Arabidopsis thaliana: one gene and its partner. The protein of the gene in region 2 purifies or fractionates together with the protein of the main gene of each other region. This does not show direct contact. Each region holds a gene or a part of one and is shown on either strand. Other genes may lie near its edges.

Region 1 (10,234 bases), on a different chromosome or scaffold from region 2:
TGATTTGTGAGATTGGTTTTTTCGTATTTATAAAGGTTTAAAATCTTCTGAGTAACAAAAAAAAAAAGTTGAAAATCGTTAGCTTTTCGGTGTTATGAGAATTAACTTCCACTAATGGCAGAGATTAATTTCCATATTTGGAATTCTATATCTTTGTCTCCACACCTATGTGGGTGGATTTATGTATTTATTAAATAGTTTTTCCTTCTTTTCTTACCATGCTTCTTCTGTTTCTTCAAAAGATGTGTTTTCCAATTTTATACGAATTAAACTAAAACTGTATATAGCCAAATATACACTTCAAATTGATTTTTATTCTCTTCGTTTGTAAAATACGGATGAGTTAAAAAGTGAAAATTAAACATTTAACGAAGAAAGGTACAAGCTAGTAAAAGTTTTTTTTACCAAATGATGGAGTTTTATGTAGGGGAAAAAAACACTCATTGTAGATGTCAACCAAAATAAACTAACTAATTGAATTCTTAAAGAAATATGTGAATTGGAAAGTTTCATGAAAATGGTTTAAATGAAACCTGGTTTAAGTAGATTAGGAAATTCAATAGGTTTGTATGCACCCTAGTTTGAATTATATCTTTAATAACCGTTGCGCAAACCATTTTTTTTTGCAGATTTGTTCTATTATAATTAAACACTATTAAGTCTATTATATATCTCTTACCCTTTAGTTTTTTTATAGGTCAACACCCTTTTAATTAAATTGAGGTTTAACGTATTTTACAAAAGAAAGAAAAAGAGGAAATTTTTTATAAATATGTCGATAAAATGCAAAATCATGCAGTATATATCACTAAAATGGACCATCTAGCTCTTAGCTTTCTATCTGTTAGCTACATTGAATTCATCCTTCACCCTTGTACAATATGAAAAAGAAATAACTATAATTAAAGTTATATGTTCCTTTCATTTACATTTGGCGTATTTGATACTCTTTTATATACATAATTTTCGCATTCCCTTTTTTGCGATTCTTTTTCCTTATACAAGGTTGTTCTTTTGTTTCTTTGTTTCTAATTTCTCTATTTTTCCTAAACGTTTTGTTCTTGGTAAAAAAAGAAAAAATCATTTGATTATCAAAATATTGATGTGAGCTCATTTCGTGATAAGTGTTTAGTCTATATTTTAACTTAATTTATTTTTGGTTTGTTAGAATTCCACATCAAAAAATACAAAAAGTCTAAAGTAATATATTAATGATAGATCAACTCATTTAGTAGCAATTAGTATCGAATTGAAAAGCTCATGAAAGTTAATATGATTACAAAAAATGATAGTTCTATTTCGATAAATTTCATTAGAATTGTTTTTTAAAGAAAATTCAAGCAAACTTAAATTTCAATTTAGTAGGTATCATGTACGAAGAGGTTACATACAATACAAGTAAGTATGTCGTCATGTAGATCTCACGTGGCATACGTTTTGCGAATAGCGAATACGTGAACAAAACACGTTTTCTCTATACGTGCCAGGCGTCGCATATAAAAACGGATGCATATTAACACTTGTAGGTGGTTCTGTAATTAAGGAATTATAGATAAATTTTTTTTTTTTAAACTGTTCTATAGTTGTAAAACTGACTGTAGTGGAACGTTATAGTATTCAATTCTTACGATTTAGTTCCTTAAATTCAAAGTGTTCGTGACACAAAAAACAAAAATCCATTAAAAGTGTGCTATCATTTTTTGAACAACCTTTTTTTGCCTCATTGACCGACTTTGGGGATTAAGGTCTTTTTCTTTTGAATATTTAAATTTAATCTTTCTTTTTTTGTCGAAAGGTTTTTAAATTTATCTAAAATTCTTCTTTGAAAAAAACATTTTTCTTTTTTATAAAAAACAATTGTGAAAGAAACACCTATATACAAACTTATGCAACGTGGGTGGTGGTGCCATTATAGGGTGGATTTAAGAGAGGAATGAGATAAGATCGAATTGTTTAGAGCAAAAGTATTACCGAGACTTGCTCTTCAGTGAGCCATTATTCGAATCTTTGATGCAAATATATCCATCGAAGCTTTAGGTTGGCCTTAAACCGATGTTCCTCAATATCCAAGGAGTTACCAAACCAGGACTCATTTTCTTTTTCCTCTCATACCTCGATTGTTTGAAATTTATTATCAAAGAGGCTTATCATTGTTGGATTAGATCTGCATTTTTCCAGTCACGAAAAAATATATATATATATATATATATTTTTTAAAAAAAACTTAATATATTAGGCCAAATCTGCAGAGAGTACGGAGAAAATGAGAAGGTAGAAATTATAAACTGAGCAGAGATTTGAAAAATTAAGAGAGATAAAGATTTATTACTTTCTGACTATCAAAGTATTAACTCTATAAATAGAAAAGTAGGAAATAATTAAGAGAGTAAAAGATAAGATGGTCTCAGAACCATATAGTTTCCGGAATATTTGGCGATTTACAGAAAGACTTAAAATACCTAAGATGAAATTACAATTAACTACTAAAGACGATATACAGTAGAGATTAATTTATGGTAATTAAATGTTCATGCGGATTATAAATTATAAGAATCCAATAATGGTTTAAAAAAGGAAAAAGGATGATAAAATCAACTTTGGAGAAAAGTGGAGTTTATTAAGTGAGTGAGTGCCACAACGTAGACTTGCACCAAATTTTTTAAAAGGGAACAGCTTCCGTGCATCAACCTTCTCTCTCGCTCTGATATATACTGCCACGTGTCTCACGTTCTTTTCCACGTCGATAAATACACGTCATTTCCTATGGATGCTTTAATTTTCTTTTATTCGGTTACTGGCAGCAAAATTTATTTTATCTTTTTTCTTTTTCTTTTTTGGAAAATACTTTATTCTTTAACGTTTTAACACAAATTGATACGTATTTTTTTATGTGGTCCAATAATGCTGACCACAAATAGAAAAGTGAAGATCATTCATGGTCCAACAAAAATTATATTTTATTATAAATTTTATTTCATTTGACATCAGTCAATTTTCACCGTTATAATATTATAAAGTTATTTAGTGTGTTAGGAAAAAGTAACTATTTAAGTTGATTAAAATTTTGGTTTTATATTTGTTTTCTGTTTTTATATCCAACACAAATTAAGTTGAATGTCATGTTAAATATTCAATATTAAATTTTAGAATTTAAAGGGTTCCATTGTTGAGAACTTGAGAGCAACACGTGCTAACGTTTGCTAAGCACGTGAACTGCGAAAGCTATTGTTGAATACATTCGTGTGTAAAGTAAATATGATTATATGAACGTTAGAATGTTATATTGGGAAATTATTTATCACTTGTTTGTAGACAACATGATCACGTACTACCTGGAAAACAATAATGAAGTTATGATGTAGATGTTGACATTTTTTTGTTTTGTAAAAAAGGATATACTGTATTTTGGAGATGTTGAGTTTTTTCTTGTAACGAAAATATTCAAGACACTCTCTGCATGTAGTTTTATTTCAAGTAACTTGGTATATAATATAGACCTTTTAGTTTCTTTTAAATTCTTTGTCCAACAAAAAAAGTTTCTTTAAAATTCTTTGTACCCCCACGCTATGGTGGTTTAGTGAGATGGAAATCATTTTGGTCTACAAAGTAGAATGGGAACAGAGATAACACTGTACGTGTTTTGTCTGTCCTTATGAGAAATTATAACTATCAAATCTAGTATTTCCTGTCTTCCTGATAAAGATAATAATCATATAATATTTGGCTATTTGCGTGCCTGATCCTTTATCTACATGGTACGTAAACTAGCACTTAACGAACACATGTTGGTTTCATACGATCTAGTTAATTAAGGTGACTACATGCACTTACACAAAACTTGAATTTAAGTATTTTTATACTAGTGTCATAGAAATATCTGTATTAGTTTGGTGGTACAAAGTTAACATTAAATATGTTAATGCTTGGCTATTCACGAACATTTTAAGATTATATCGTATTATTCTTTTGGTGACTTTCTACATTACATTATAGTATTGACTGTTTGACTCCAAGTGAGTATTTAAATATGACCAAAATATCCATACGTTAGAAAGTTATACTTTTGTTTAATTTCTTTGTTTACCATATAATTTTGACTCTTATATTAGTAACAGTTATGTTTCTTCAGTTATTATATATATGAACAATGATATAAAGAATTCAGTTTTTTTTTTGTCAAACAAAGATCTTCATTCATTAAAATCTCAAAAGAGACAAGTTCATACACAATGAAAATAAGAAATTACAGGAAAATAAGGATAGAAGCTTCATGAGTTTTCTAATGATTGAAAAATCTGTTGAGGCCTTGGCAGATTCGACCATGAAGGCGGGCTTCGCGAAATCCTCGACCATCTTGTGGTCAAAAGAAGCTCTTGCAAACAATGCATCCGAGCTTTTGAAGAAGTGCTCCGTTGAGGAGGCTGACGGGTTAACGAGGTTGAGAAAAAGACGGTAACCACTTCTTGAAGACATGGTCATAATGCCGTACTTTTTCAACATGTCAAGAGATTGCAAATTATCCAAGCAATAGATTAACATGACATGAATGAGCGCGATAAATGGTGAGTGGATAAGTTGAGAGTTTTCAAGGCTTCGGTAACACCTACTCGGTAGAGACAGGGTCATAATGCCGATCCTCTTAACTCTAAAGGCCATTTGCCTATGGGTGGGTAAAGGAGTCTCGGATAGGGTCCAAAGAAAACTTAACATCTTATCTCGACAATGGTAACTACCATTCCCACCTAAACAAACCACTATTCTGATAGCAAGGCGTCCATTACCAGCCCAAACAGAGGTAGAGGGTGCTAAAAGGAGGGAACTCGATAGTAAATTAACGATACTTGGTGTGGGCAGCAACACTCTAGGACACTTCCAAAGAGAAAATAGCTCCAAACGATTCAAGACTAGACTCAAACACTGAAGAAAACGGACCAAACGAGATAGACTATCAACTAGGTTTTGTGAGAGAGAGCTACTAATCCAAGCTAAATCCATCATCACCATCACAGGAAAGCGTCCATTACTCTCCCTAAATGATAACAACATCAAAAAATTTGGGCTTTGTAAAACAGATTTGAAAACAGACCTGGGCCTTAGAGGATATGGGCTTAACCCAGCAGAAGGCTTCATGGGCTTTAATAGTTTAGGTAATGGGTTAGGGGGAGGACAGAAGGGGCTTGGGTTGGGCCCAATGCGAAAACCCTGAGGCAGCATTAGGTTTAGCCGCCAAGCGCATCTTCTCTTTGTCACCAACGACGACGGCGACGGCAAAACGGACTTAGGGTTTACAGCTGCCGAATTGAGGGCGTCAGAGACAAGATCTAACCAAACGAAGTTTGTTTGCGATGAGGCTCGGTCTGCAGAAGTTGGATCTTCCAAGGTAAAGCTCTTCAACAGCTCCGGCGTCAAAGCAAAGCTCCGATCCAGAGGGGAATAGGGAGATGCCGGTATTGACTTCAAGGGGAGCCGAGGAGAGGGATAAACCACGGAGGTCGCAAAGAAGATAAGGGGAGAACTAGCACAAGAAGTGAACGTGTTCAGAGGTATGGTGGTCAAGGTAATCTTTGGATACAAAGGGAGAAAAGACAAGCGAAACATGGGAACACGGGAGAATAGAGAACACCAGATGACATAGCCATTGAGAAGAGAGCGACAAGGGAACGATAGCTCCCGGCACCGGCGAGCAAACGGCTCTACCGGTGCCGGAATTTGTTTGGAAGCTTTGGCCTCGATGAGAGAGAATGAATGAAAAGAATTCAGTTTAAAAATGTCAAATTGGTGTTCTCAATTTTCAACATACCCAATAATACAACTAAACAATATTGAAGGCCCAATACCATATACACGATGGCCCATCTACTGCCTGATAGTATGTAGGGGGTATTAATGTCATTCCAACAAGTAGGGGTAGAATCGGTAATAAGGACACAAACTCGCCTCTTTCGCTTTGTCTCTCTCGTCTCTAAGCAGTAGCAGATCTGAGTTTTGGAGAGTTCAAAGGAAGAAGATAACTCCAATACCAGAGGTTCGTAACGATGTGAGATTTTTCTCTGTTGTTTATGAAGTCTTAGCTCAATTTGATCTTCCAATGAATTTCGTTAAAATTTGCTAGACTTCTATCAGCGCCTGTAGATCGATTTAGGTTATGTACTCTCATTCACATCGGTGGGAAGCGATCAATCTTAGAATCCACGTTTTATAATTTCTCGTTTTGATCTTGTTTTTTTCACAACTTGTAAACATTGCGATGTTGATTGTGTTGATTAATCGCTTAAAATTGAGGTCTGAGTTTAAATAATCCTTGTGCTTACCATATGGTCTTGGCTGTGATAATTTGTTAATTGTTCTGCTTAATAATCTAACACTTTGCTTCGGTTAATGTCTGGATCAACATGCTCATGGTTGTGTTCCCTGTTGATTTGTATTGTAACAGTGAAAGCATTCAGGAAACATGCCTCCTCAGAAGATTGAAACTGGTCATAGCGACACTATTCATGATGTGGTCATGGATTACTATGGAAAGCGAGTAGCAACTGCCTCGTCTGACTGCACGATCAAGATAACCGGAGTAAGCAACAGCGGTGGATCTCAGCATCTAGCTACCTTAACCGGTCATCGAGGTCCTGTCTGGCAAGTCGCTTGGGCGCACCCAAAGTTTGGTTCACTTCTCGCTTCATGTTCCTATGATGGGCAAATTATATTATGGAAAGAAGGTAACCAAAACCAATGGACACAAGCTCATGTCTTCACAGACCACAAAGTATCTGTCAACTCTATCGCTTGGGCTCCTCATGAACTTGGACTCTCCTTAGCTTGCGGAGCATCTGATGGAAACATATCAGTTTTCTCGGCTCGAGCTGATGGCGGTTGGGACACGACAAAGATAGACCAAGCACACCCTGTTGGTGTCACTTCAGTGTCGTGGGCACCGGCCACAGAACCAGGCGCACTCGTTAGCTCTGGTATGATCGATCCGGTCTACAAACTAGCATCCGGCGGGTGTGATAGCACGGTGAAAGTGTGGAAGTTCTCGAACGGGTCATGGAAAATGGATTGTTTCCCGGCTCTCAACAAGCACACGGATTGGGTCCGTGATGTGGCTTGGGCACCGAACTTGGGTCTCCCAAAGTCAACCATAGCCAGTGGTTCAGAAGATGGGAAAGTGATCATATGGACCATAGGGAAAGAAGGTGAGCAATGGGAAGGTACTGTTTTGAAAGATTTCAAAACACCAGTGTGGCGGGTCTCGTGGTCGTTGACCGGTAATTTGTTGGCTGTTTCCGATGGGAACAATAACGTTACAGTGTGGAAAGAGTCTGTTGATGGAGAGTGGGAACAAGTGACTGTTGTTGAGCCATAGATTGTTGTTTGTTTGTTTGGTTATCTTTTGTTTTGTGGTAATATCAAAATGTGGTGTGTTCTGTATACAATTTCTAGGGACCTGTTTCTCTCTATACGTTTCTCAGGAAAGTATATTCTTATGTATTTTAATCAGACAACAGAGATTGCAAAAGAAATGTATTTTTCATAAAACTTTTTAATTCCGATAATGAGTTTTTTTTACTGGTATGATGTTTTTCACATTTTTACCCTTTTATGAGATTCCGATTTTGGCGTAAATTCATTGTAGTTTATAACCAAAATTTAATTGATTTCAATATAAACTCATTTTTAACTAATTAATACTTTAAAAATTTAAGCCTGTTCAACCTTAGTTAATTGTGTTTTTAATCGATCAACTAATTTTCAACTCATTAACCAGCTCGTTTAGCCAGCCACTTGATAAATTTTAATGCTCAATTAGGCATAAAATTTTGATTTACGAAATTTTGCCGATGGCGCTCAAAAAATGCTAATCCGGCTCTGCATCGATTTATAATATTTACCCTTTCAATACTCCGTGTAGTTAAGAGGATCGAGGGTATTTGCGTCATTAACAGTGATAACAAGTGCTAAAGCGATGAATGAAGCGCCTATTTTCACAATTCGAAATCTCTCTCCCCCCGCTTTGGCCCCAAAAAGTTTTTTTTTTTTTTTTTTAATTGCTAAGACAAATATCCGAATCTCAGAAATTTCTCGTCCTCTTTCTCTGTTTTTTGTTTCTGGGGAAAATGTCTTCTGCGATTGTTGTTTCTCAAGATGCGGAATCGCTTGGTCTGCAAATTTATAGCCGCAAGGAGAAATCTCTTGGGGTTCTCGTCTCCAAGTAACACCTCTCTCTCTCTCTTTCACCAGATTTTGCTTTGTTGGATTTATGTGTAATTGATGTCTTATGTACGATTCAGTTTCCTGAGACTGTATAACCGAGACGATGTGGATCTCATTGGGCTCGATGATGCCGCTGGGCAATTAGGTTTATTCTTCTTCCTCCTGATTTTGTGAGATTGAAATTTTAAAATCGATGGATAGGTCAAATCTAAACGTATGCGTTCGATTCCTAGACTAAGAACAATTGGGCTAACGGAGAACTAAGTAATCCGATGACTGTTTTGGTTACGCTCTCATCGGATTTCTCAAATTTTGTTTCAGGAGTTGAAAGGCGGCGTATCTATGATGTGGTCAATATATTGGAGAGTATTGGGGTATGTATGCTCTTTTTTATTTTGCTGGGTTTAGCTTGAGCTGATTTAGAGTTTTGTGGTGTATATTCAGATTGTGGCAAGAAGAGGGAAGAATCAATACTCGTGGAAAGGTTTTGGAGAGATTCCTCGTTCTCTAGATGAACTCAAGGTTTACTTGATATGGATGTTCAACATCTGGCTTTTAATGATGCAAGGAGAATGGTTTTGAAACTTGTCTTTGGTTGTTTTTGTTTACAGGAAGAAGGGATGAGAGAGAGGTTAGGTTACTCAAGTTCAAACAATTCAGACAAGGTATATAAGTTCATCCTCTTAAGATTCTTTGTTGCTGAATTTTTTATTAGATTTTTTAAAGTGGTTTGGAATTTAACTTTGAAGATGTTACCTGTGATGTGATTCTATGGTCGTAAATGTATTAGGTTTCAAATGGTTGTGAAAGAGAAGAACCTTTAACTTTAACACCTGATGATCAGGAGAACTCATCATCCTCTAAAATGGGTAATCTTCTTTCTTCTAGTGTTTTGTTTTGTTGGAGTGTTATCAATATCCATCTGCTAATCACTATTGGGATTTCAGTCCACAACTTGATTCTGAATAAACATTCTTCTGCAAATAGTTCTGCATTAACAAAGTGCTACTTGATGAATAAAAGTTTCCAGGATAAGATTTTCTTTAGGAGCTAACTTGAAATCAAACTAATATCATTTTCAGACCAAAAGAAGGAAAAATCTCTCTGGCTTCTCGCACAGAATTTTGTGAAGATGTTTCTATGTTCTGATGTAAGTGAATATCTCTCTTTGGCTTCTTACACAATACTTTTCAAATCCCTCTTATAAACAACAACTCACACCCTGTCTGCTGCCTTCTCTTCAGGATGATCTCATCACACTTGATAGTGCTGCAAAAGCCTTGCTGAGCGACTCTCCAGATTCAGTCCATATGCGAAGTACATCTATATTTCCTGTTTTAGATCTTTTCTAATCTCTGTTCTCACAAGTATACAGTACCATTAACCAACCAAATTTCTGAAATTGATTAACAGCTAAAGTTAGAAGACTTTACGACATTGCAAATGTATTTGCCTCGATGAATTTAATCGAGAAGGTAAGAGCTTTGTTCCTAAGCCAATACATTAACACTGTAATACTTGCAAATTTCCAGTGTATCATCTTTTAGTTATTATTATTATTTTTTTTGCTTTCTCCAGACTCATATACCAGTGACTAGGAAACCAGCATATAGGTGGTTAGGGTCCAAAAGCATAGCTGAAAGAGGATTAAGCTTATTTAATTCCGGAGAACCGAAGCGGGTATTTGGAACAGAGATCACAAACTTGAGGGCAAAGAGAAACAAAACATATTGTTCATCAATCCGCAAGCAAATTGGATATAAGAAACATGACGAGGAAAACACAGAGCAGGAATCGAAACCAGCTGCAAGTAAATATGTGTTTGGCCCGTTCTCCCCAATAGGAGCATCTAAGACGAACAACGACAAAGTCGGAAAGGGAAGGTTACTAGAGATCGAGGCCCTTGCTTCTACCTACCAACCACAGTATTGCAATCAAGGTAACAACCACACTCTAATCGTTTCTTGATTCGATTGGCAAACATATCTGATTATAAAACATAAACTGAGTTTTGGTTTTGAAAAAT
Region 2 (13,236 bases):
ATGTAACGGCAGTCCATGTCAGGAGAAAGGGAATGTTCCAAAGATATCTCTATGCTCTTTGGTGATTCTATTTGAAAGCAGACATTGTGGTAGTGTATGACGTACAATGCTCAAAAAGCAACACAAGAATGCACCTTTGAAACTATATATTTATATGTATGTGTCAGTATCACCATTCACCTTATCTAAACAGAAAAACTACACTTATATATCTGTATGTTAGAAGAAAAGAAAGTATGGAAATGAAAGGAAAAAAAAAAGGGAGAGGGAGATATGCTTAGCTTCCCTAGAAGAGAGTTCCAAGTGTAAACCCTTTTTTGGTTCAAACTTGTCAGAAGAGAGTTCTTCTAAAACCAGCCTTTATATATGCTTCTTTCTTACCAATCTTCTCTCCATTCCAAAAACAAAGAGATAGAGAGGGAGATACAAAATTCTCTCTTGTTCTTTAACCTTTTTCCATTTATATATAATCTCTCAAGTTGTACTTTCAGAAACAAAACGCTGTAGTATCTACATATTAGTTAACATGGGTGTTTCAATTGGTCATATAGGAATGATTCTTCTTCTTCTCATCGCGTTTTCGGTACTTCAAACTGATTACGTTTCGGGTCTTAGATGGGACAGAGACATGAGGATGCAGCTTATGTTTGTTCATCCTTTGCGTGTTCTTGAAGAGTCTGAGCCTGAGTCCTCTTCATCATCAAAAGGAAACTTGGCGCCTTCTCCTTTCGTTATGTCTGATCCTAATCAATCTGTGAAAAGAATGATTGGAAGAGGATCTGATCCTATTCACAACAAATACAACAAATGCTGACATTTTTACTATAATATAAAATGAAACAATGTTTTGTTTCTGAAAGTAAAGCTAAGGCTATACTCTGTTTCTGTAATGTCAGTAACTCTATTTTCTTTCAGTACTCTGTTTTATAAAGAAGGTTAATATTTGTCTCTTAATCCTTCATCGGCTTAAGTTTCTATATCATTGTTCTTTAAAACATGTCTTGCATTACCTATTTGGTTGATGCATTATTATATTATATGAGTATGCAAGACTTCATTTGTTCTCTGTGTGATTTCTCGCTGTTTCGTATTTAATTGGTTCTGATTAACCAGATTATTACCAGTATAAACATCATGCATAACAGAATCTTCTGAGATTGCCGGAACAAAAAATATGGATCTTCTGAAATCTTTTTCGATAATACATAAATTCTTCTAGAGTTTTGGTTATTGAGCCCAAATCCAGACAACTCAGAAAGCCAGCAACAAAAGGTCGTCAAATATACTGGGCTTTATCTTTGAAATAAGCCCATTAAATAATTCGCAATCGTAGGTGTACGTAGTTGATTGATTTTTTTCATGCATGTTTAAAATCCTGAGAAATCTGTACGTTTCTGGTTTCTCGGAGAGATTTTCTACTCTAAAAACAACATTGATGTTAAACGATAATGACGATTATATTGTCAATTATTTTGGTAGTAATGATAATTGATAAGAAGAAGAAAAAAAAACTCTATGAACAAGTTTAATAATATTTGCCAATATGGCATGCTGGATTTTCTCGAATCATCATGTTTTCGATTTCATTCATCAAACTATAATGAAAATGGATTAAATATGATATTTGGAGGGAAGGAAACATACATAAACAAATAAATAAATTAAAGTAGTTGGAAAAAAGTGGAGTAGATTCAAACCTTCCAACTATAATAATTTATGCAAGTCATAGTTTGACAATCATTTTGGGCCCTTTCTCTTGTTGGTTCCTTAATTTGTTTTTGTATCTCTGCCAGTGTCAGACGCAGTTTTTACAGACTTTTTGTTTAAATATATCACAAACCTTATTCACGATTATATTTTATACTCTTGAAGTAAAATTTTCATCAGTGTGACTCGGTCTCGAATCCCTAGTTTTACAATATTGTATATACATGTAAATCCAGTATGATGATTGATCAGTGTATGAAATATATATATAAACTATTCAAATGATTTGGGGTTGTATAGATTTTAGGTTGGCAACTTCACGAGTAGGGCACGGTTGGTGAGAAACAAAGAGTCTTTTACACAAATATTTAAGAACATCCCATCTCTCGCTGACTCTCTCTATATTCCAAATTGTTTTAAATGCGGTCTTAACTACTTTATAGTTTATAGTATTCTGCAGTAGATGTTTGGACGAATATCTGCTATATAATGTGATTGTTAATTAGCACAATATGGTTCTGAAAGGTATCATTATTAACTTAATTACCTCCTTATTGGCTTATTGGAGGTGGCAAAAAATTTGAACTCGCCAAGAGAAATTGAACAGAAGAACTCATGCCGTGTCTTCATTTTCTATTCGACAAAACAGACTTCTTGACATTCGCCCGTGATTTTCGGCTTTTTATTTTCCTAATGATCAAAGAAATTGTTTTGTAAATTTTATGTTTCAGTTTACAAGTACCATTTTTTCTGAATTGATAGGATATATAAAGTTAATACCATTGTAGTTATAGCCAAAATAAACTTACGTACTATTACAGTGAGTAGTAAAAGTCGAGATCAAAACTTGTCAATAATTTGTTGGTATAGTTTTGTGTGTCAAGATGTTCATATATGGTTTTGATATTTGTTTATTTTGTTTTTCTTTCTCTAATCGAAGATTTTTTTTTTTTTTTTTTTTTTTTTTTTTTGGCTGTCAAAAAAATATATTTGATTTGTTAATTATGCTGATATATTTCATAAAATTGTACCGAACATTCGAATCTCCATAATTCAAAAATCAGTCTAGATTATTAAGCACTGTCGATGACTTGATGTAGTAGTCTACACGTTAATAATTTATATACAGAAAATAATTTTGATCATCTTTAGGGCAAAACTAATTTATAATCAAATCGCATGGGGCATTTGACGTTGTCTTTTGTGTACAACTGGGATCCACATTTGTTGCTTCGCGTTATAAGTAAGTAGTCAAAGTATTACTGAATTTCTAAATAAAAATCCGAATTGAAACCTCATTATCTTTTGTGCATTAATATATATAATTTTACTGAAATGGAATTTATAATTCTATACTTTTATATATAGTTGCCAAGAAAACAACATTATCTATATATATAATGATATATACAATGATATATATTTATTTATAGTTGTATATAAGACTTAAATGGAAGTCCATAATGATAATAAAAAATGTGATTGATAATGCGATTATACTCCAACAATCTGTCAGTGTCTATTGCTTGTGGGAGCATGTCCCTTGGAGTGACTCGGATACGCATTTATTTTGTTTATTCAATTATTTATTTATTTCATGAGCCACTAGTGGCTAGCATTTAATTGGTTTTATTACTAAATTATTTTTCCAATGAATTAAAAGATTTATGCGAAGCAATTGCACGTGAAAACAACGGTACAAATAAGGCTCATTGCTGAGTTTTATGTTTGCAATTTTGGAAGACACCGTTGGAAATAAAATGAACGTAAATTTGAATTCTAGTATTAAATTAAAAAGTAGGTTCCCTCGTATCAAATTTAAGAATTTTGTTGTTGTTCATATAATATATACAGATAAATAGTATATCTATTATTTAAAAGTCGGTTAAAAATATCTTCAACATTTTCAAAAATATTATACTCGATTCTAACTATCAAAGAAAATGGTTTAAATATACTAGATGTCAAGATCACTAGCTAGCTAGTAATCTTATATTCTACATCATTTGTTGCACTTCTTCCATGTTACGTAACATATTTTTACCCTTATAAACCTAATTACATGTCGAAGTCTTTGTCTTACCAAATATAGATATATTTCATTTCACAATGACTTCTTTTTCTGATGCGACTTTTTCAAATACTTAGTCATATAATAATTTAACAAATGCTTCAGCAAATCCGTCTATAGTGTAGAGATATATAGTCAACACTCAACAACCCTATTTATATATTAAGGGCTACAAAGGGGCATTTCATTGGCAAGTACCATTTTACTTAGTATCCAAAAAGAGTGTTTGATCATTTCCCCACAAAACAAGGTAATCGGAATTTTCTTTTAGGGTTTTTCGGGAGATCAGTTTACGAAGAAGATGAAGAAGAGGCAAGTGGTGATAAAACAGAGAAAAAGCTCTTACACTATGACTTCTTCTTCAAGCAACGTCCGTTACGTTGAGTGTCAGAAGAATCATGCCGCTAATATTGGCGGCTACGCTGTTGACGGTTGCCGGGAGTTTATGGCAAGCGGCGGAGATGATGCTTTGACGTGTGCTGCCTGTGGCTGTCACCGGAATTTTCACCGGAGGGAAGTTGACACGGAGGTTGTTTGTGAGTATTCTCCTCCGAATGCAAACAACTGATGAACGAAGATGGAAAAAAGAAGAAAAGCCAAGAAAGGTAACTGAAAACAAAGAAAAAAGGAACCTGCTTTGGATTTGATCTATTGATTTATATTAGATCGAGATGTATTTTATATGTATATGTATATGGTTAATGTTGTATATTCAACTACTTACATTAACGCCGATCTATATGATGAATGATTTTTCAATCTTGATGTGATACATACTTCAAATCTATGTGTACCTATATTTAAGATTACAATATGTGGAACAATTTTTTTGTTTTTCCTTTTTTTGGCGGATCTTGCTTTTGATTATTTTAAAAACCCAGAAGTCTTAAAGCGTTTAAGAAGTTGTCGATTTAGAATAGAATGAGCCGTAGATAATTTTGGTGACGAGTTCTAAAGACGTACATAAACCATTAACATTCCGTATAACACAAAAGTATCCAATCGAAACTAATCTTTCTTCATTGAGCTAATCACATTTGTACGTCTATATATATGTGTATGCTAATGTTTTAAGCAGGATACATAATAAACTATATTTCTTATTTGAAAGAGATGAATCTTTAAGAGCACTTAGCTTGCGCTGAAAGAGATGAATCCTTATGAGCACTTGCGATCTCTTTCAAATTCCAATGCTTGTTTTGATGTATTAATATATTTCGATGTATATCTATATCGCACATGTAGAGTATACGAAGCATATGGTCAATGACAGCAACAGAAAATGGGGATATACAGACTTATAAATGGAATTCAAAACACAAATTAATAAGCAAGTTAAATCTTTGTTCTTATTCTTATATTGACTTATAGCTAGATAGGTGAGTTTTGTTGAAAATAAGTAGTTAAAATGATTATTTTATTGTAAAATAAAATTTGGATCTTAGCTTTTATTACGTAAAAAAAAAAATATAAGTAATGCATACAAGTACCAATAATCATATGTTTCTTCCCTTTGTCTCTTTCTGTTGAATATTCGACCCACCACTTTACATACAAAAGATTCCGATAAAATGTTCAACACATATTAAAAATATAAAGTTTGATGTCCATATGAAATTTAAATCAAAGTAAATTTAGTGTTATGAAGAAAATATTATTAAACTTGATGACTTTATTCGATTAAGTCGAGTTCATGTACATATTAAACAAATAAAGCCAGAAGTCAAGTGTCAAAGCATTACTTATATATCTAATTAATAGACGGTCTGGTCGTTATCATTCTTTTTGGTTGCTAGAAAAGATCATGATGGAGTTTTTTTGTTATGTTTATGTTAATGTAATTTAATTTAAAACACAGCGGCCCACATTTCAAATCATGTTATCAAATCGTTTAGGTTCATGTTTTTCAATTCGCTTCCATATATAACAAAGATTTTAAGCCATTATCATAAAGCAATATAATACCACCAAAAACATATTGGCCACTTTTGCTCTCATCAAAGTGGCCACTCGAATTTGTTGGAAAAGACCACTGTAGTATTTCTTAATGTAATTAAAAAAAGTCAAGATACTCTTTTGGAGCATACATATTCTGATTTTGTGAACCTCTAGACAGTACGTAGACAATTTCTTTTAACGTAAAAGTAACTAAAATAGGCCAATAACTAAACACAGAGTTGGACCACATATTTTCCACCTTCGGCATAACAAAATTTGTATTCGATCCACGACCCTTAACACCATTCTCATGAACCCAGGCTTCTTTTACATTGCTTGGCTCTAAAGTTTTCAAGGCAAATGCTTATTTTTTTCTCCAGGTTCCAAAGACACTTAAAAGATAAGAGAAAAAAAAGAAGAAGAGACATTATGAAAATAGAGTGTTAAATTTAGAACTGATTTGCTTTATTTCTCACCAAGTACATAACCTAGTCCCAAACAGATAAATTTCACCATTTCACCGCACATTTTGCCTTCCCGTGACGATCATTTTCTTAAGTGTTGGAAGCCAAGAACTGCACTCATCCCATTCGGTGCTTGTCATAAGCCCCTGTTCACCAAAATTAACAAATAACAAACCAAACTCTATTCTTTATTCAACATTTATAAATACGATAATGCAAGATTACTAAAGATTCACAAATACACCACTTTTTACCTGTATTTTTAACGCTGCACCAAAATCACGTTTGTCCAGAGCTTGACAGAGCTGAGTGAGTTTTTCAGCAGCGTTCTTCGAGATGTCCCCATTATTTAGTTTTGAAAACAGAGCTCCTAGCTTTCTTGAGCAATTATCTTCTGCCTCACGCTTCTTGGCAGGAGTATCTCTTGAATAACCTCTTAATGGTTCAAATGTCTCTTTAAATAGCCTTGTCAATGAAGCCACAATAGGTTTCTGGTGGGCTGGATCATTCCATAACATCATGAAGAAAACAATTTGATTTTAGTAAAAAACTTATATATAACAAATAAACCACATGTAATGATGCTGACAAAAAGTGCGTTTTCTGCTTTAATGTTTTACAATGTCAATACCTGGTACATTGGAAGTATCTGCAGTCTGAACAGTTGGTGGTGGAGCTACAGGTTCTGGTTGCACCGCTACCTGGTGTGTTGGAGTCATAGGTCGGACTGGAGGAGCAACAGTTTGGGGAATCTTGGAGTTTATATATGGACCAACTTGTGAATGGATGGATCGATATGAACCAGGACCGGGTGGAGCATTGTAAGCTGGGCCAGCGGATCGCTGGAGACAGAGGTTTTTTGGTTAGTCAAAAGCTAAAATGTGGACAATGTAAACTAAATACAATGGAGATGGAAGTGAATCATATACATTAAATGAATGATAATCCATGGTTGGTTGCTGATATTGGTCCGCGTTCTTTAGTTCTCGAGGAGGATTCAAAGGAAAAAAAGTAATACTTCTTGATGGCTGAGCATTGCTTAATGGAGCTGGAGTAAAAGATTTCTGCAGGAAAATAAGACGAATAAATGTTTAAGTAAAAACCAAGTAGATAACAGAGTTTGTTCCAAGCCAAACAACATACCTCTTGATATGGATTGGAAATTTTAGGCTGAGTGTTTGTTGAAGCAGAAGTGTTAGCAGCTTCTGCAAGAAACAATATTATCAAAAAATTTAGCTAATATCAGAATGATAGCTTTCTTCGATAGCAGATTAATCACAACACAGCTGAACACATACCAGGTTCTGCATACAGAGAAATCCGATCACGCAAGATTGAAAGTTCAGGTGAGAAATCACCAGACTCCAGAAGTTTTAAGAACTTCATAGCTGTTGCAATAAGTCCTTGACTAGCCAATATCTCAGCATAACTTTCAAAGAGTTTACGTAGAGACGCACTGACTCTCTTGTTGCAAGTTGTCAAAGCAAGGACAAGAGTTTTCTCCATAAGATCCTATTTCACAGAAAAAGAAATGCAAAAAAAAGTTTAAGCAGAGAAGTACTATTTAATATTTATGCAAGATATAGAATTCTATACTCACTTGAACACACTCAGCATAAGATTTCCCAGCACTTTGTTTTTCAAGGCTCATTGACCAAATGTCTACTGTTTTGTCGACATTGCCTGCGCAAATGTAACACAGAGTTGCAGCCAAAGTAAAACCAGCAGCCATCAAATTTGAGGCAAGAGCATCGCAGAGGCTTATCCATTCATCTCCTTCTGCAAACTGTTTGTCAATAAATAAGAAAAAAACATTCCATTAGTGTAGTTATTAGTGACATCAAACCATCTAGGAGCAAGTATTTTAACTTCATCAAGAAAATAGTACTTACAGTGCAGATGAGAGCAAGAGTTTCTTTCCAGGATTTAGGTTGTCTTGTATGAAGGTAGGTCATTAGATCATTGTTCATCATTGCAGAAACAACCTGTAACAGATTAACATAGTAATATAAGATGACACTTATACTTATCAACATATCAAGTAAAGTTGAAAAAACGTCTAATAATATCTATACCTTCATGTAAGGAGCATTGCTCATCCTTATATATTTATCACGAGTACTCTCCCACAATTCTGTACCACCAACATGAGCAATAACTAAAGCATCAGCCATCTTATTTGCAGAAAAACACTGAGCCACTGCTTCCTTGTAATCTCCCACAATCAATGAACGTTGGATGGCATCATCAAATGTTGGATCAGAGCTCTCTTCTTCTTCTCCTTCTGGTTCTGGCACTTTCTGAGTTTCTTCCACGTTTGTAGAAGAACATGTAGCATGAGGCTCATTAGCAGTTTGATCATTTTCCTCAGATGGTAAACTAAAGCCAAGATGGCTACGCAACTTCGTCTTTGCGTTCCCATCTTCTTCAAGCATAATTTTCAGCAGTCCCCATGTTTCCTTCTCTTCCTCAGATCTTCAGAAACAATGTACACAAAGAGGAAAATTGTAAGTTTCTGTTACTTATATAAGGATGATTATTTGATCATTTTCAGTCACTGCAAGACTTACTCGGCCTCTTCTGTTTTCTTCTCGCATAAACCCCTAAGGGAAGTCTTCTCTCCATTTTCTAATGCAGCTTCAAATTTAGAAATTCGATTCACCAAACTTTTTTCTGTGGCCAAGCTATGCAGAAAGACCTGACACGCACACATAAGAGTCAATGAACTGAAGAAATATAAAAACAGCAAAACAGAATAAAACAATGTCCTCTCTAAAACAAGACCTCAGATGCCTCAGGAAGATTTTTGTTAAACGAAATAAGCTTTCCTCCAAATCCAAAAGATGCACCAGCCGGGCGCTTCCACCATTTTGGTGCTGTTAAAGGATCTGCATCGAGAAGATGGAATAAGAAGTGCTGTTGGTTCTAATGCTCCCAACAAAGCAATGATTCAAGCATATTGTTCAACAAGAGGGATCTTGAAGGACATTACCTGAATATAAATTGTTCACCTCGGTACCATAGCTGCTACAACCCTACATAGATACATACTTTCATTTTATTTTATTTATGGGTGGGAAACAAACAAGTATTCTTCAGAACTAAGCAGTACCATGACAGAACAGGAACCTAACTCCTAAAATAACAATGAAGAGGAAAAATGAACTTGTGCTGAATTTACTGGTTCATTATTTGTATACAATCATATATTATTGATCTTGATCTAGAACACAAATTTCAAACACCAAAACGAAACTGCAAAGAGCTACCTCAAGGTTATAGATGCCAATTTTCCCATCAACTGAAGATGCTGATATAACTCCAGGCATCTTTGGATACCAATGAACATCAAAATTCCAGTTTTGACCAGTAGGTAACTCAGCCACAATCTGACATAATTGGACCAAAAATTCCATTAATTTAGATAAAGTACTAGTTAACTGACAAGCATATGCAAGCTAACAACAAGGCTATATCAAATCTATTGTCTCTTCACCTTTCCTGTCTTTGTGTTCCAACAAATAGTTCGGTTGTCTTTCCCACAGGTAAGTAGATACAAGCTGTCACTTGGACACCACTCCATTGCAATCACACCTGTTGTATAACAAGTATCACCACTCTGTTTCAACCAATGCAAGGGTACATTCTATATAGTAAAAGAGATGGAGATACCTCTTTGGTGACCAACAAATGTGCGAACAGGTGATTGTAGATACCTTATGTCCAAAAGCTGACAGAAAACATCTTTAGAGACCAATGAAAAGAGCCAAATTTGATTGAACTTGAAAAAATAAAAATTAATATGATCTGATTACCTTCACATTCGGTGAACTATCTTCATCTGAAGCAACCAAAATCTGATTAAAATGATCAGGATCCCATTGCAAAACTGAGCACCTAACGGTAGTTTTCAAGCTGTTGATTGATAATGGCTAGATCAGGTTTTGATAAGAGATCACAGAGGATTTCTAATATAACAAACTAAAAATAAATCAGGATCTCAAAACTTACTCTGTTATAATCTTCTCGTTATTCACATCCCATATCACTAAGTAAAAACAATATTCATCATATACACGATTAGCACAAGTTGAAAAATTGTAGTTAACCTATGTGAACCAGATCATAGAACTCTAATGCTCACCTGTAGTCCCGTTGTGTGAGGTAGATGCTAAAACATGTTGAAACCCTTTATTCCATGATAAAGAAGAGATTTCACTTTGCATATAAGAACCAGTACCCTGCAACGAGACATTGTATATATCTTAAAGATATATACACCAGAAAAGATAAAATTGCAGAGATCTTGAACTGTATAGTACCTTTAGATAATGAGAAGGCTTTGAAGGATTTGCTAAATCCCAAATACAAACTGTACCATCATCAGCCCCAGAAGCAAGTTGATTTGGAGACTTAACATTAAATTCAAGACCACGAACCTATATTACAAAACAATGCATGTACACATCAAATAACGATGTATATATATCGGGAAAAAAAACAAAACAGAAGATACAAACTCACAGGTCCTTTGTGTTTTGACAAATCTCTAACGTGCGCAATTTCACCAGACTCAGAACTGATAAATACAAAGTAAAATACTTTACATAATCAGTATAAATTGAAGAGAGGCTAATAGATTTCAATTAGGGTTTAGGGAAAATCACCTAATTGGATTCCATAAACCGATGTTCCCGTCAACTAGACCACCGGCTATGAGACCATCGGATCCAGAGCCATAACTTCCCCAAGCGAGTCGATTAAACCGCTCGGAACTTTGGCATTGACCTACTAGTTTTAGCTCACGATCGTTGGACTGAAAATCGAGTTCAAAGATCTCGAGATTGGCGGATGAACTAAACGAAAGATCTACTGCTCCGGCCATTGTTCCGGCTGCTATGAACGGAGATTCCGGCGCGATGGCAACGAAAGCGGATCTACCAATACTCTTTATGCAATCCATTGTGAGAGTGACTCGAAGAAAGCGATTTCTCAAGAGTGCGGAGGGAAACAGAGAGAATTTTGTAATGAGTTTTCGAATGTTGTAGACAAAAACTTAGGTGTATATATATAGTAAACGAGTAAGGGTAGTTTCGTAATGTTGGACTTTGGTGGTCCGTGATCACTACCATTCACAATCCGACACGTCATTTGTGTGTTGTCCCAAAGACCAAAATATCCATTATTTCCATTTGGATAATAGCACAAAAGCTTTATTATAAAGGTGACAACTAAAATATATTTTTTCATTTTTATTAAATTGAATGATTGTTTAAAATTAATACATTGGGCTAGTTATCAAATTTAGACGTATGATATACTCATATTTTTTAAGTTAATATGTAAACTCATATTTTTAAATTTGAAAAGAAAAATTAAAAACAATTTGGGCTAGTTCACAAAATTTGATATTGGAAAAGAACGGTTTGTAGAGCCCAGTGGATCGTCTAGGGCATCTAGGCCTTATATCTACAAGTCCTTTTTTCAGTTTTGTGTCAAACTATTGATGTCAAAAAAAAAATCAGAAAATCAATAGTGTCAAGAGTGGGATTTGAACCCACGCCCTTTCGGACCAGTACCTGAAACTGGCGCCTTAGACCAACTCGGCCATCTTGACTTTTTGATTTATAACATACCCAAATATTATATTATCCTTTGCTAATTTTTAAATGTTTTGCCAAAACCCATGGATCCCCCTAGTTCAGAACCTATTCAGTTCTTTGCTGATCAAACAAGTTTAAGAGACAATGTGAACTTGAAACAACCAGAACCCTGCATAGCGATTTAAAATCTAATCATTTTGATCCACATGTACTTTGATGAAAAAACAAAAAAAGAAAATTTCCACAGTTATATATTTGGAGTTTTATTATTCTAAAGGGACAATAATGATACTGAAAAGATATTTGACGTTGCCACTGCCAAACTTTTCAGCAGACGTCAAGGCAATTTATACTTAAATGTGTGTGGATATGTATTTGTTGGAAATGCAAAATCCATTACGCACCAATCTTTCTACCTAGCTATTTATGAAGTACTGAACAATAGGCATACCAACAATAAATACCAAGCCAGTTCGATTTCTCTCTTCTCTTTGTTGTTCAATTTCCACATACCACTTGTCGTAACATTGTCCACATGTTATTTTTTTATCATGGATAATAAATCCACAAACTAACGAGAAAAAGGAAAATAATAATTTGATGATTGAGATAATTCGAATCAATCTTTGATAAGGAAAAAAGATACTGTATAACGTTGAAAGGTCCAACTCATAATGTTCATTTGGCTTGCATGTAAAATTACTGTACCATCAGGAATAATATGGTGATACTACAGTGTTTAAGTGAGATGAATAGATTAGTGGGGATACCTAAGTTAGCAAACAAAAACAAAATATTTACACTAAAAAATCTCAAGACACTAGAAATTTTAGCCTTCGTAAATACATATTGACTACTTTCAGTTATAATTCAAAACTGTATCACTTTAAAAAATGTGAAAATATAAAAATTGATGAATGTTGTGAAATGTATATAGAAAAAAAACAGAATCACATTTTCAAAACATATATTATTAATTTACTATTCATCACCATATTGGCATATTCTATTGATTGCTTTAGAACTTACATGTAACAGAGAGTAAATATGAGTTGATATATTAAGAAAAAGTTGTTGCAAATTTTTTGAATAGTCAAATATATACTAATATTTTATAGCTTATAACTAAAATACAATTTCTAAGCCGGAATCCATTTTTCAACTGATGTTTTGTAACGCGAATGAACCAAAATATCTATATAAAGTTAAGCTAGATTCTTCCTTTATCAAACGGTAATAATAACTTTACTCACTTTTTGTTTTCGAGACCAAACAAAATTAAAATCTATATATTTTTGAATCAACGTATTGTGTTTGATTATGGAAATTGAGAGATTAGGGTTCAAGTTTTTCAGCTGTAATTTGGATCGGTGAATATATTTTAAATAGCAATTTTTTTTTGTACATGCCTCAAATAGTAATTGAAATTACATAGATATATACACACATATAA

What was found.
Region 1: the proteins of AT1G18830 (region 2) and AT3G01340 fractionate together in Arabidopsis thaliana (co-fractionation; one large-scale study listed by BioGRID). This does not show direct contact.

What each region holds. Positions count from the first base shown.
Region 1 is NC_003074.8:124,683-134,916, reverse strand, and holds AT3G01340 (Transducin/WD40 repeat-like superfamily protein), read left to right. Parts: upstream 1-5,922; 5' UTR 5,923-6,025; exon of another isoform or gene 6,026-6,037; intron 6,038-6,433; 5' UTR 6,434-6,451; coding exon 6,452-7,360; 3' UTR 7,361-7,562; downstream 7,563-10,234. Other genes in the region: AT3G01345 (uncharacterized protein), read right to left, coding at 4,198-5,598; DEL3 (DP-E2F-like protein 3), read left to right, coding at 8,112-8,206, 8,286-8,353, 8,530-8,582, 8,653-8,730, 8,820-8,873, 8,999-9,077, 9,291-9,358, 9,453-9,525 and 2 more. UniProt on the Arabidopsis thaliana protein: Required for protein transport from the endoplasmic reticulum to the Golgi apparatus.
Region 2 is NC_003070.9:6,487,216-6,500,451, reverse strand, and holds AT1G18830 (Transducin/WD40 repeat-like superfamily protein), read right to left. Parts: upstream 11,144-13,236; coding exon 10,848-11,143; intron 10,760-10,847; coding exon 10,705-10,759; intron 10,620-10,704; coding exon 10,503-10,619; intron 10,422-10,502; coding exon 10,325-10,421; intron 10,229-10,324; coding exon 10,192-10,228; intron 10,096-10,191; coding exon 9,996-10,095; intron 9,911-9,995; coding exon 9,853-9,910; intron 9,775-9,852; coding exon 9,677-9,774; intron 9,570-9,676; coding exon 9,450-9,569; intron 9,216-9,449; coding exon 9,192-9,215; coding exon of another isoform or gene 9,173-9,191; intron 9,106-9,172; coding exon 8,965-9,105; intron 8,879-8,964; coding exon 8,751-8,878; intron 8,656-8,750; coding exon 8,256-8,655; intron 8,166-8,255; coding exon 8,073-8,165; intron 7,967-8,072; coding exon 7,781-7,966; intron 7,693-7,780; coding exon 7,479-7,692; intron 7,386-7,478; coding exon 7,324-7,385; intron 7,245-7,323; coding exon 7,110-7,244; intron 7,023-7,109; coding exon 6,812-7,022; intron 6,680-6,811; and 5 more. Other genes in the region: MIF3 (mini zinc finger), read left to right, coding at 4,080-4,346.